Arabidopsis thaliana: one gene and its partner. The protein of the gene in region 1 interacts with the protein of each later gene in a pairwise test. Each region holds a gene or a part of one and is shown on either strand. Other genes may lie near its edges.

The links.
Region 2: the proteins of AT4G03290 (region 1) and ACA2 interact in a two-hybrid assay, tested with the Arabidopsis thaliana proteins (one large-scale study listed by BioGRID).

The regions. Positions count from the first base shown.
Region 1 is NC_003075.7:1,440,670-1,444,958, forward strand, and holds AT4G03290 (EF hand calcium-binding protein family), read left to right. Parts: upstream 1-1,876; 5' UTR 1,877-2,143; coding exon 2,144-2,608; 3' UTR 2,609-2,969; downstream 2,970-4,289. Other genes in the region: PETC (photosynthetic electron transfer C), read left to right, coding at 1-19, 462-579, 679-861, 944-1,048; AT4G03292 (Polynucleotidyl transferase, ribonuclease H-like superfamily protein), read right to left, coding at 4,003-4,289. UniProt on the Arabidopsis thaliana protein: Potential calcium sensor.
Region 2 is NC_003075.7:17,681,728-17,689,096, reverse strand, and holds ACA2 (calcium ATPase 2), read left to right. Parts: upstream 1-1,991; 5' UTR 1,992-2,288; coding exon 2,289-2,462; intron 2,463-2,582; coding exon 2,583-2,637; intron 2,638-2,728; coding exon 2,729-4,674; intron 4,675-4,755; coding exon 4,756-4,914; intron 4,915-4,993; coding exon 4,994-5,165; intron 5,166-5,252; coding exon 5,253-5,551; intron 5,552-5,632; coding exon 5,633-5,872; 3' UTR 5,873-6,238; downstream 6,239-7,369. UniProt on the Arabidopsis thaliana protein: This magnesium-dependent enzyme catalyzes the hydrolysis of ATP coupled with the translocation of calcium from the cytosol into the endoplasmic reticulum.

The sequences.
Region 1 (4,289 bases):
CCTTCTTTGTTCCTCCTGGGTGAGATTGCTTTTACTCTGTTCCTCGATTTGATTTCATTTTTCGAATGAGATTCATGGGTTTTCTTTTCTTTTACTGTATATGATAAGAGTCCCACATCGTTAAGGTAGAGGAGAGAGTGTTGGTATATGTGTTCATTGGTTCCTCTCCCCATAACCTAGGTTCCCATGGATCTTATGAGCTAGACCTCAACTCTATCAGTATAATGATTGCATTAGATAGATAAAATCTAGAGACTCTTTTGTATTGTGGTGAAGTTTGAATTTACTCTTGTATGTTGTTACTTTGTTAGCTTATGGTTTTGATTCAATCGAATATGTAGTTATGAATAAGTATATGGCTTCTTTGGTGTTACTGAGATGTGAGATTAATGAGACTTGATATAGTTTATTTTCGTTCGTTGGTCTTGGTTTATAATCTCTACGTTGTTTTGAAAATGCAGAACCGGAGGTGGAGGTGGTGGTACTCCAGCCAAGGATGCCCTTGGAAACGATGTAGTTGCAGCGGAATGGCTTAAGACTCATGGTCCCGGTGACCGAACCTTGACCCAAGGATTAAAGGTAAGATCATGAACAACTTATTTAGCCCTCCTTGAAACACTGCTTTAAGAACTCAATAAAGGTTCTTGCATCTCAATGGGTGTGGATTATTTGTTATAGGGAGATCCGACTTACCTAGTTGTAGAGAACGACAAGACTCTAGCGACATACGGTATCAACGCAGTGTGCACTCATCTTGGATGTGTTGTGCCATGGAACAAAGCTGAGAACAAGTTTCTATGTCCTTGCCATGGATCCCAATACAACGCCCAAGGAAGAGTCGTTAGAGGTCCAGCCCCATTGGTAAGTCAAATACATTGCATTCTTTCTTTTTTGCGTATCTCTAAAGTGGACCGTCTAAAGTAACCTTAATTTCATGGAACAGTCGCTAGCGTTGGCTCACGCGGATATAGATGAAGCTGGGAAGGTTCTTTTTGTTCCATGGGTGGAAACTGACTTCAGGACTGGTGATGCTCCATGGTGGTCTTAAGACTCTTCAACAAGAAAAAGAGAAAGATTTGGTCTTTTTGTGTAAGACTTGTTTGAATGTTCTTATAATGTATAAGCTACATTTCATCGCAATTACTCTGTGAATTCTTGCCTCTTATATGAAATATTATGTTCATTCACTTCCCAAGTTTCTTTTTTAATTTCCCGTTTTCAAGGGTCACTTTGGGAGTAATTAGCTTTTGTTTGTTGACAATGGTACATGTAAGATCAGGTGTGTTTGCAATCAAAACAGGTATTTAAATACATTACTGAAAGATTAAATCAAAGGCCCGTATAGCTCAGTGGTAGAGCGTCAGTCTTGTAAACTGAAGGTCCGTAGTTCGATCCTGCGTGTGGGCACTTTTTATCCATTGCTTTAATTTTACGTTATCATTTATTTTTTTCAAGGATGTTACAAATATATTCACCAGTCATCAGGTTGTTTGCTGTAATTATTTGTCCATATGAGCATACATCAATCAATAAACCGAGATAATAACAAACTATTATTTTCGTTGACATTTTGTTTTTGATTTCTTATCATAAAAATGAAGTCAAAGACTTCACAAACTTGGGACAGTACCACATAGTGGCTCACCACTCGAAATGATTTGGTCTCTTGCCGGCTAAATGGTAAAGTAACTATGATTAAGTAAAATAAGTAGATTGATGTTTATAATCTTGTTTGTTCGGCTATGAAAAATATTAGTAAATATTTCATAAAGAATTGCTAAATATACAAATATGTTTTTTGGGTTGAATTTTATAGAACCGATAAAACTTTTAGAAGACTTCGATACAAAGCCACAAGTCTCCTTTAAAAGACCCAACATTTCCTCTCAACCAACAATAAAACAAATCCCTCTCTATCTCTCCTATTTTTGTCCCATTTACATGTTATTACCTCGAGCTTTTGGCTAAGAATTTCCACCAATTCTCTTTAACATTCTCCTTGATTTCTGACACTACCCTCATCGGGTCTCCAAGAGGCCAAGAAAGACCTCTTTCTCGGCTTCTAGGAGTCTCATCATTCTCTTTTTTCACATTTGCTTCCTCCACACGCAACCTCCAAAAAGCCCTAAATTTATTAAAACAAATGGATTCCACGGAGCTGAACCGTGTGTTCCAAATGTTCGACAAGGACGGAGACGGGAAGATCACTACGAAGGAGCTGAACGAGTCATTCAAGAACCTCGGTATCATAATACCCGAAGACGAACTAACACAAATTATCCAAAAGATCGATGTTAATGGTGACGGTTGTGTTGACATTGAAGAGTTTGGAGAGCTCTACAAGACGATAATGGTAGAAGATGAGGACGAGGTAGGAGAAGAAGATATGAAGGAAGCGTTCAACGTATTTGATCGGAACGGAGATGGGTTTATAACGGTGGATGAATTGAAAGCGGTTTTATCTTCCTTGGGACTCAAGCAAGGTAAGACCTTGGAGGAATGTAGGAAGATGATAATGCAAGTGGATGTTGATGGTGATGGTAGGGTTAATTACATGGAGTTTAGACAAATGATGAAAAAGGGTCGCTTTTTTAGCTCTTTGAGCTGATAATAACTTTTTTTCTTCTTTTTTTACCTTCTCTTGTTTTTAATTTTGGTTATTTGCTTAACCATTTTCTCTTGCGGTCTAAATGGAAAATACATGATCATAGACTAATTATTTTATCTTCAAGACATGCGAGAGCACATTGTAAAAAACTGTAGGTGTTTTATGTTTAAAATGTGATGAGTGATGCTTTGTTTACATTCAATTACCTTGAATTTCAAATAATGCACATGTAGAATGATAAAGTAGATGTGTTGTTTATAAGCATTTTATAATCACTTAAAACAATGGATATTCAAACAATTAATACAATCTTTATAAGCCAAAACTAAGACCCCAAATAAAAAATAAATATCATTAACATCCAAAAAAAAAAAAAAAAAAAAAATTGTATGCAACATAGTAAAAACATTATTAGATAGGATAGGATTCAAGAAACTTTTTTAGTAAGGAAAATATCATTGCATATGCTCAGAAAATTGGATAATTAACTCTCCTCAATTTAACTGTTCCCTTTTTACTGTTAGCATTTTGTTTACGCATGTACCCCTATGTTATTGATTAAGTCAATTATAGAGTATAGAGCAATAATGTTGCATGCTGTAGGAGTAGATATTAGGAGTAGATTTTTATTGTTAAATTTTTTCATTGTTATCAGGTTAACTTCGTTAACTATTATTCATATATCGAATATCTTAACGTTTTCATATAAATATTATTTTGTTATACAATAAGTTAGCATGTTATTATTCTATATATCATGTTGTTATAATTATTATCATGTTAATTATGTAACAAAAAGTTTAATTCTCTTTTATTATGCTGAATCTACATAAATAAAAAATACCGATTTACAATTTTAAATTGATAAATATATAATCTTATCGTGATTTCATAGCTTTTAGCACGTTAAACAAATATTTATATATTTATCATTCGCATATTACAATTATTTTTATTCAATGGCATTTTTATAATTAATTTTTTTAAAAAATATATTTTTAATTTATATATTATTTCTCTTTCATACTTATCTAAATTACTAATATTTACACATAGTTTGTTAATTTCTTGATCCTCCAGACATAGACATTAATATAGCCCTCTTAGTAAACGCCATTCTCCAATATGCATCATATAAATTAACGCAAACAATGAATCTGGACGTCTAATGTCACTTTCGTCAGAGTAAATGGGTCGCAGTATTAGAGGAATTTGAAAAACAATTGTGTTAAGCGTCACCATCACCCATACAACAATTTAGGCATGCCATCATAAAATTTGGACAGATATTGGGCTTTTGGTTAAATTAAATGGGCTGAGGTACTGAACTAAAGTTTATTAACCTAAACTTGTACAAATATTGGGCCTTTGGTTTGTTTAAATGGGTCTAAGGTTCAGAACCAAATTTGGGGCTTTATCATTCTGATTAACAAGACACCGGCGTGTAGTGAGCTTGTATCAGCTGCAGAGTTTCTCTCCCGATTGACAAAGTCGATTGAGCAGTAGGGTAGCTTTAGCATCCAATAACGTATATCGCAAAGAAGAGGTCCAAGCAAGCGATGATCCTCGTCATTGTTGAGTAACGTTACAAGGTCTCTGTTATCGGTTTCGAACCAAACATAACGCAATCCGTGAATCCATATCACTTGTAAGGCATGGAGAAACCCGAGAACCTCCGCGT
Region 2 (7,369 bases), about 16 Mb from region 1:
ACCCATATTCATTCGCTAATTTGGTTGTTATGCATGCCTGTATGCTAATTAAGATTTATATACTTGGAGAAAACATCTTCCCCATGGTTAGGATTGTTTAGCCCCAGAAATGAACCGTTAACTTATCTTTTTCGATTAGTAATGAAATGATCAAATATTTTTACAAAAATATTCTACTATCCTTCAATTAAGCCATAGACAAAAAAAACCTGTAGGTCTCCCATCAATCACACAAAGGTAAAAAAACAGACTTTTAGGTGACCAATTTCGTACCATTTTGTAAAATCTAAATCGGAACAATGTAGAGCAAATGATGTAGAAAATATCATACATTATTAGAACCAACTCAATCAAACCTAACTCAAAATAATAATTTTGACATGACTATTCCCACTAAAACTACATATAAGTGACACCGGCTAAAGTTTTTTAAAAATTGTACGGCATACCAAAATCATGGAGGTTGATATGATATGTGTAGAATCATCCGAAAAATATATATTTGTGAATTTACACAAATTTATGGGTCATCAACGTACGTCTAGACCTCTTTCAAACAACTTTTTATGATTGCAAAATGTTATTTGGTTAATGGATTTCGTAACACAACAAATATCTCATCAACGAACTTCGTCCACCACTTGAATATGAAACCAAGCTGGTTTTCTTAGTCCCATATATAACTGAATTTTTCCTTCCCTAGTCACACTTTTAGCGATAGCAGGAGCAGTGACATCAGTCCGAACCGCGACCAAGTGAAATTACAACCTTCAAAACCGTTGCTAAACTGTGATTTTTTTATTTTTTTGGTAATGGCTAAACTGTGAATTTTATCCAGCAGATCACAGAATCTTGGCAACTTATGGGGTAACGAACTAGCTTCCCATGGCAGAGTGACAATCGGAGACCACAACCACACGAGCAACTTCAACGTCATCCCACAGCTGTTCCAATGCCTGTCCAACACATAACTCAGCAGAATCGCTTAAAGAAAAAAAATGATTAACAGTTTTATTGTTTATTTTTCTTTCTCAAAAGCATCCCAAATATTTTAGAGAAGCAAACATATACCAGAGCCCAAAATTTGTTAGGCCCTAAAGGCCAATAAAGCAAACAAAGCCGTGTAAAGAAAGATCTTAATAGCTTTCAAGGCCTATAAAGGCCCATTCTAAGCCCAAATCTGCATGTCCAACTTTTTTGAAAGTGTCATTTTCCATGAAGTCAAGGTAAACGCATTATTCAATTGGAGAAGAATAAAAAACACTAGTTATTGAACTAGAATGATGAACAGAGACATAAGCAATTAGTACCAAACGAATAATAAAAAGACATAAAGCAATCAATGTTTTTGAGTCCAAATAGAACCAATGGGCTTGGTCCAACGTGGCGTCCCCGAAGTGTCGGGTTTTTTGCAATAGTCTCTGGGTCAACGGTCCTCCAATTTCTCTTTATTTATATAAACGACCCCATTTCTTATTATTGTCAAAAATCACCGCACTTTTGTCCCACAATTGTCATTCAATTTGGTCAAAGTGAAATCAACGTGAGCAGCCAAACAACAAAAAACCAAAGCTACGAAAGGTAAACTTCTTAGAAAAATCTTGCAAAATATGGTCCAATTAAAACTCTCTGTATATTATATTCCATTTTTTTCTATACAGTATATATTATATTGAGTAAATCTAAAAATTACGTCATTTACTCATCCATAGTATTTTACTAGTTTTTAAACCTTTTTTTTTCTGTAATCTTCTAATTTTTTTAATTATAAAATGTCCACATTCATTCACAAATTTGGGAATAAAAACCAATCATAAACTCAACAATAATAACATAAACGCGTAATGTACTCGTCATGGCCTGCATGAATGTTTCAAGAATGATTTAACGTTCGTTATAAATGGAAAGTAGTGCATGTCTTTATTTAATTATTCTCTTCAATAATAAGTCGAATGTTTTTATTAAAAATGTAAGAGAAACTTTGTTGGACACACGAATTTAAAACGAGTCAACTCAGCTTCTCATCACCAAATGTTAATAAACTCAACGACTCGGTCAAATGCTTAAGCAAAAAAAACTCAGATCTTTGAATAAAAAAAAACTTTACCTTTCTTCTCCATTAAAAGCTTCCGATTTCTCTTCTTCACCCACCAAAAAATAAAAAGGTTCCTTTTTTCTTCTCCACCAAATATACAGAAGAATTTGAAACAGAGAGCCAAACAAAAAAGCCATTGAAGCTGGAAGACAAAAAAAACAGAGGAGATTGAAGAAGAAGAGGGAGTAAGAAGATGGAGAGTTACCTAAACGAGAATTTCGATGTGAAAGCGAAGCATTCTTCAGAGGAAGTGCTTGAGAAATGGCGTAATCTCTGTGGCGTTGTTAAGAACCCTAAACGTCGGTTTCGTTTCACCGCTAATCTCTCTAAACGCTATGAAGCCGCCGCGATGCGTCGCACCAACCAGGTTTTGTCTCTTTTCTTTTTCTTCTATGTCATCGTTGTTAATGATTTTGTTGAAATCTTCGAACTTTTAGATGGATTTTGTGTATAGCGATGAAGGATCTTAAAAACTTTCTATATACAGGAGAAATTAAGGATCGCTGTTCTTGTTTCCAAAGCTGCTTTCCAATTTATCTCTGGTGAGTTTATATGTGATCAAAGTTGCTGATTTGTGTCAAAGTTTCGATTTTTGTTTGTTTGTTTGTTTGTTTATGTGAGTTTTTGTTGTAGGTGTTTCTCCAAGTGACTACACTGTCCCTGAAGATGTCAAAGCTGCTGGCTTTGAGATTTGTGCTGACGAATTAGGATCAATTGTTGAAAGTCATGATGTTAAGAAGCTCAAGTTCCATGGTGGAGTTGATGGGCTTGCAGGTAAGCTCAAGGCATCTCCCACAGATGGCCTTTCTACTGAGGCTGCTCAGTTATCCCAAAGGCAAGAGCTTTTCGGAATCAACAAGTTTGCAGAGAGCGAAATGAGGGGTTTCTGGGTGTTTGTATGGGAAGCTCTTCAGGATATGACTCTTATGATTCTTGGTGTTTGTGCTTTCGTGTCTTTGATTGTTGGGATAGCTACTGAAGGATGGCCTAAAGGATCACATGATGGTCTTGGCATTGCGGCTAGTATTCTCTTGGTTGTGTTTGTTACAGCTACTAGCGATTACCGCCAGTCTTTGCAGTTCCGTGATTTGGATAAAGAGAAGAAGAAGATCACTGTTCAGGTGACAAGGAACGGGTTTAGACAGAAACTGTCGATTTACGACTTGCTTCCTGGTGACATTGTTCATCTGGCGATTGGAGATCAGGTTCCTGCTGATGGTCTTTTCCTCTCGGGATTCTCTGTGGTGATAGATGAATCGAGTTTGACTGGTGAAAGTGAGCCTGTGATGGTGAATGCGCAGAATCCTTTCCTTATGTCTGGAACCAAAGTGCAAGATGGATCTTGTAAGATGATGATTACTACAGTTGGGATGAGGACTCAATGGGGAAAGCTAATGGCGACTTTGACCGAAGGAGGGGATGATGAAACTCCACTGCAGGTGAAACTCAATGGAGTTGCTACCATCATTGGCAAAATTGGTCTTTTCTTTGCGGTGGTTACTTTCGCGGTTCTGGTGCAAGGAATGTTTATGAGGAAGCTTTCAACGGGAACTCACTGGGTCTGGTCTGGTGATGAAGCATTGGAGCTCTTGGAATACTTTGCTATTGCTGTGACAATCGTTGTGGTTGCGGTTCCTGAAGGATTGCCTTTAGCTGTGACTCTAAGTCTTGCGTTTGCCATGAAGAAAATGATGAACGATAAAGCTCTTGTGAGGCATTTAGCAGCATGTGAGACTATGGGATCTGCAACGACGATTTGCAGTGACAAGACTGGTACACTCACAACCAATCACATGACCGTTGTGAAGTCTTGCATTTGCATGAATGTGCAAGATGTAGCAAATAAAGGTTCTAGCTTGCAATCAGAAATCCCGGAATCTGCGGTGAAGTTGTTGATTCAATCGATTTTCAATAACACAGGAGGCGAAGTTGTTGTCAACAAACATGGGAAAACCGAGCTTTTGGGGACGCCAACAGAGACTGCTATATTAGAGTTGGGGTTATCTCTTGGAGGTAAGTTCCAAGAAGAGAGGAAGTCTTACAAAGTGATCAAAGTTGAGCCTTTCAACTCCACAAAGAAGCGAATGGGAGTTGTAATCGAGCTTCCTGAGGGAGGACGTATGCGTGCTCACACGAAAGGAGCTTCCGAGATTGTTTTAGCTGCTTGTGACAAAGTTGTAAACTCGAGCGGTGAGGTTGTTCCACTTGATGAAGAATCAATCAAGTATCTGAATGTTACAATCAACGAGTTTGCTAATGAAGCTCTTCGAACTCTTTGCCTTGCTTATATGGATATTGAAGGCGGGTTTTCGCCGGATGATGCAATCCCGGCTTCTGGATTTACTTGCGTAGGGATTGTGGGAATCAAAGATCCCGTACGTCCTGGAGTTAAAGAATCTGTTGAGCTTTGTCGCCGTGCTGGAATCACTGTGAGGATGGTTACAGGAGATAACATTAACACCGCGAAAGCAATTGCTAGAGAATGTGGGATTTTAACTGATGACGGTATAGCCATCGAAGGTCCCGTATTCAGAGAGAAGAATCAAGAAGAGTTACTAGAACTGATTCCAAAGATTCAGGTGCTTTTTGTTTCATGAACTAAAGACTTAATTTTTTTTGTTTAGTTTTTGAAACATAACCTTTCCTATGTTCTTATACAGGTGATGGCTCGTTCTTCACCAATGGATAAGCATACACTTGTGAAACAGTTAAGGACAACGTTTGATGAAGTTGTTGCTGTCACTGGAGATGGAACAAATGATGCACCTGCACTTCATGAAGCTGATATTGGACTAGCAATGGGAATTGCTGGAACTGAAGTGAGTATATGATAAGATTTTGTTATGTCATTTGTGAGAGCTAAAGAATCTAAAAGTTTCTATCTGTATAACCTTTTAGGTGGCGAAAGAGAGCGCTGATGTCATCATTCTCGACGATAACTTCAGCACGATCGTCACAGTTGCTAAATGGGGACGTTCTGTTTACATAAACATCCAGAAATTCGTTCAGTTTCAGCTTACCGTTAATGTTGTTGCACTGGTTGTTAACTTCTCTTCAGCTTGTTTAACCGGTAGGTTTAGTAAGAATACCAATTCAATGTCTCGAAAAGAATCATTTTGGATTCCTTGTTTGACACAGCTCTTATGATAATCTTCAGGAAGTGCTCCTTTAACTGCTGTTCAATTGTTGTGGGTGAACATGATCATGGACACACTTGGAGCTCTTGCTTTAGCTACAGAGCCACCAAACGACGAGCTGATGAAGCGTTTACCTGTTGGAAGGAGAGGCAATTTCATCACTAATGCGATGTGGAGGAACATTTTAGGACAAGCTGTTTACCAATTCATCGTAATTTGGATTCTCCAAGCCAAAGGGAAGGCTATGTTTGGTCTCGACGGTCCTGACTCAACTCTCATGTTAAACACTCTTATCTTCAACTGCTTCGTCTTCTGTCAGGTAAAGAACAAAGATTACTGATAACAATACTCGAGCTATAAAGATAGATTCTTGACATGACTTTGGTTCTGAAAACTCCAGGTGTTTAACGAGATAAGCTCGCGAGAGATGGAAGAGATCGATGTTTTCAAAGGAATACTGGACAATTACGTCTTTGTGGTTGTGATCGGTGCAACGGTTTTCTTTCAGATCATAATCATCGAGTTCTTGGGCACATTTGCAAGCACAACACCACTCACAATAACACAATGGATCTTCAGTATCTTCATAGGTTTCTTGGGTATGCCAATCGCCGCTGGACTGAAGACGATTCCCGTTTGATCGTTCCATCAAAATTGGCTCGAAACCACTCTTTAAAGATCTCTATATTAGACCAGTTACTTCAAAGTTTAGAACGGACAAGTCTTCTAACAAAGTTTTTGCATTATGCAATGACTCTGTTTTTTATTCTTGACTTTTATTTTTCAGTTTGATTAGTGCTATTAAGGACAAATATCTGATTTCCTCCATTTTTGTAAAACTCTCTGTATCTTTGAAATGACACTTCTCTTTTCTTTCTTTTTCTCATTTTTGGAATCTAAATTTGGTCTCTATTGAATGACAAATGCAAAAATACAGAAAAAGGACATTGAAAAAACAGAGGAAGCAAAAGGTTAAAATAAGAAAAATGATTATTTGGGTACAAAATTGTTATCTAGCCAGACTGTAATTTGATATACTTAGAAAATCTCTCAATGAAGTCATGGCTTTTAGTGGGAGCCTCTTCTCCTGACATCATATCTCATCAGTCAAAACTGATTCCATATAACAATTCCAAAGCCTGTCAATCTCAAAACTGTAATAAATAAGAAAGACTCTTCTTTAAGAAAAGAAAAAAACATTTTTAAATGTTATCAATTTAGGATCTCTATGAAGTAAAACCATTTTTTAGATTGAAAAAATGAGTATACTATAGTCATTTGTCCCTTGTAGGCGTATAGGTAAATTATAATTTCTATGTGAACATTAGACCGGTAAAATATTCTATAACTAATTGTTTAAGTTTGTGATCGTGTGAATAAATGTTCATAAATAAAGGACTAATTAATATCTAGAATGAAAATAGAATTTACATAAAGATTAGTTATTTTTGTGATATTTCAATCTCACTAGTCATTAGTTTATCCATCTCCTAACCAAAGTGAGAGTTGTAACTAAATTGTGTTACCCGTGAATCTCACATATGTCTACACAAAACCCAACAGAAACAAAATGGTTTAACTCAATGATAATAAGCAAAAAAAAAAAATAACAATTGGGACATACTAATATTCATTGAAAGATAGGCAACAGAAAATTCAGAAGCATTAACTAGTTCTTGGTGAAGTAAAGCTTGACCCTTTATGCTTCTTGATTTGTTGAATAATCTCTTAGAGCAACAAAACATTGGCCTTAAACCACACACACATTATCTTTAATTATATTCTGTCAGTACTTTATGCTTCTTAATTTGTAAGAATGCATTTTGTTTGTAATAAGTCTTTTAATTCGTTGCTAATCATTTTGGAATTAAAGCTTTAATTAATGGAACCAAAACTTTGGATCCCAAGTTGTATTGTATGAGACAGTTGTTTCTCACTTAAACAAGTCGTTGGGTTGTTGTTTCTTCAGTCTATTACACATATGTTTTTTTTTTTTTTTCTCAACTGCATTTCATTGAAAATATTAACAATAATCCTATAAACACACACAAAAAAAACAATCTACCTCTATATGTACGAGTACGATGCACTTTTGACTTGCGCGTAGAATAGTACGTTAACTTAAAAACATCACATG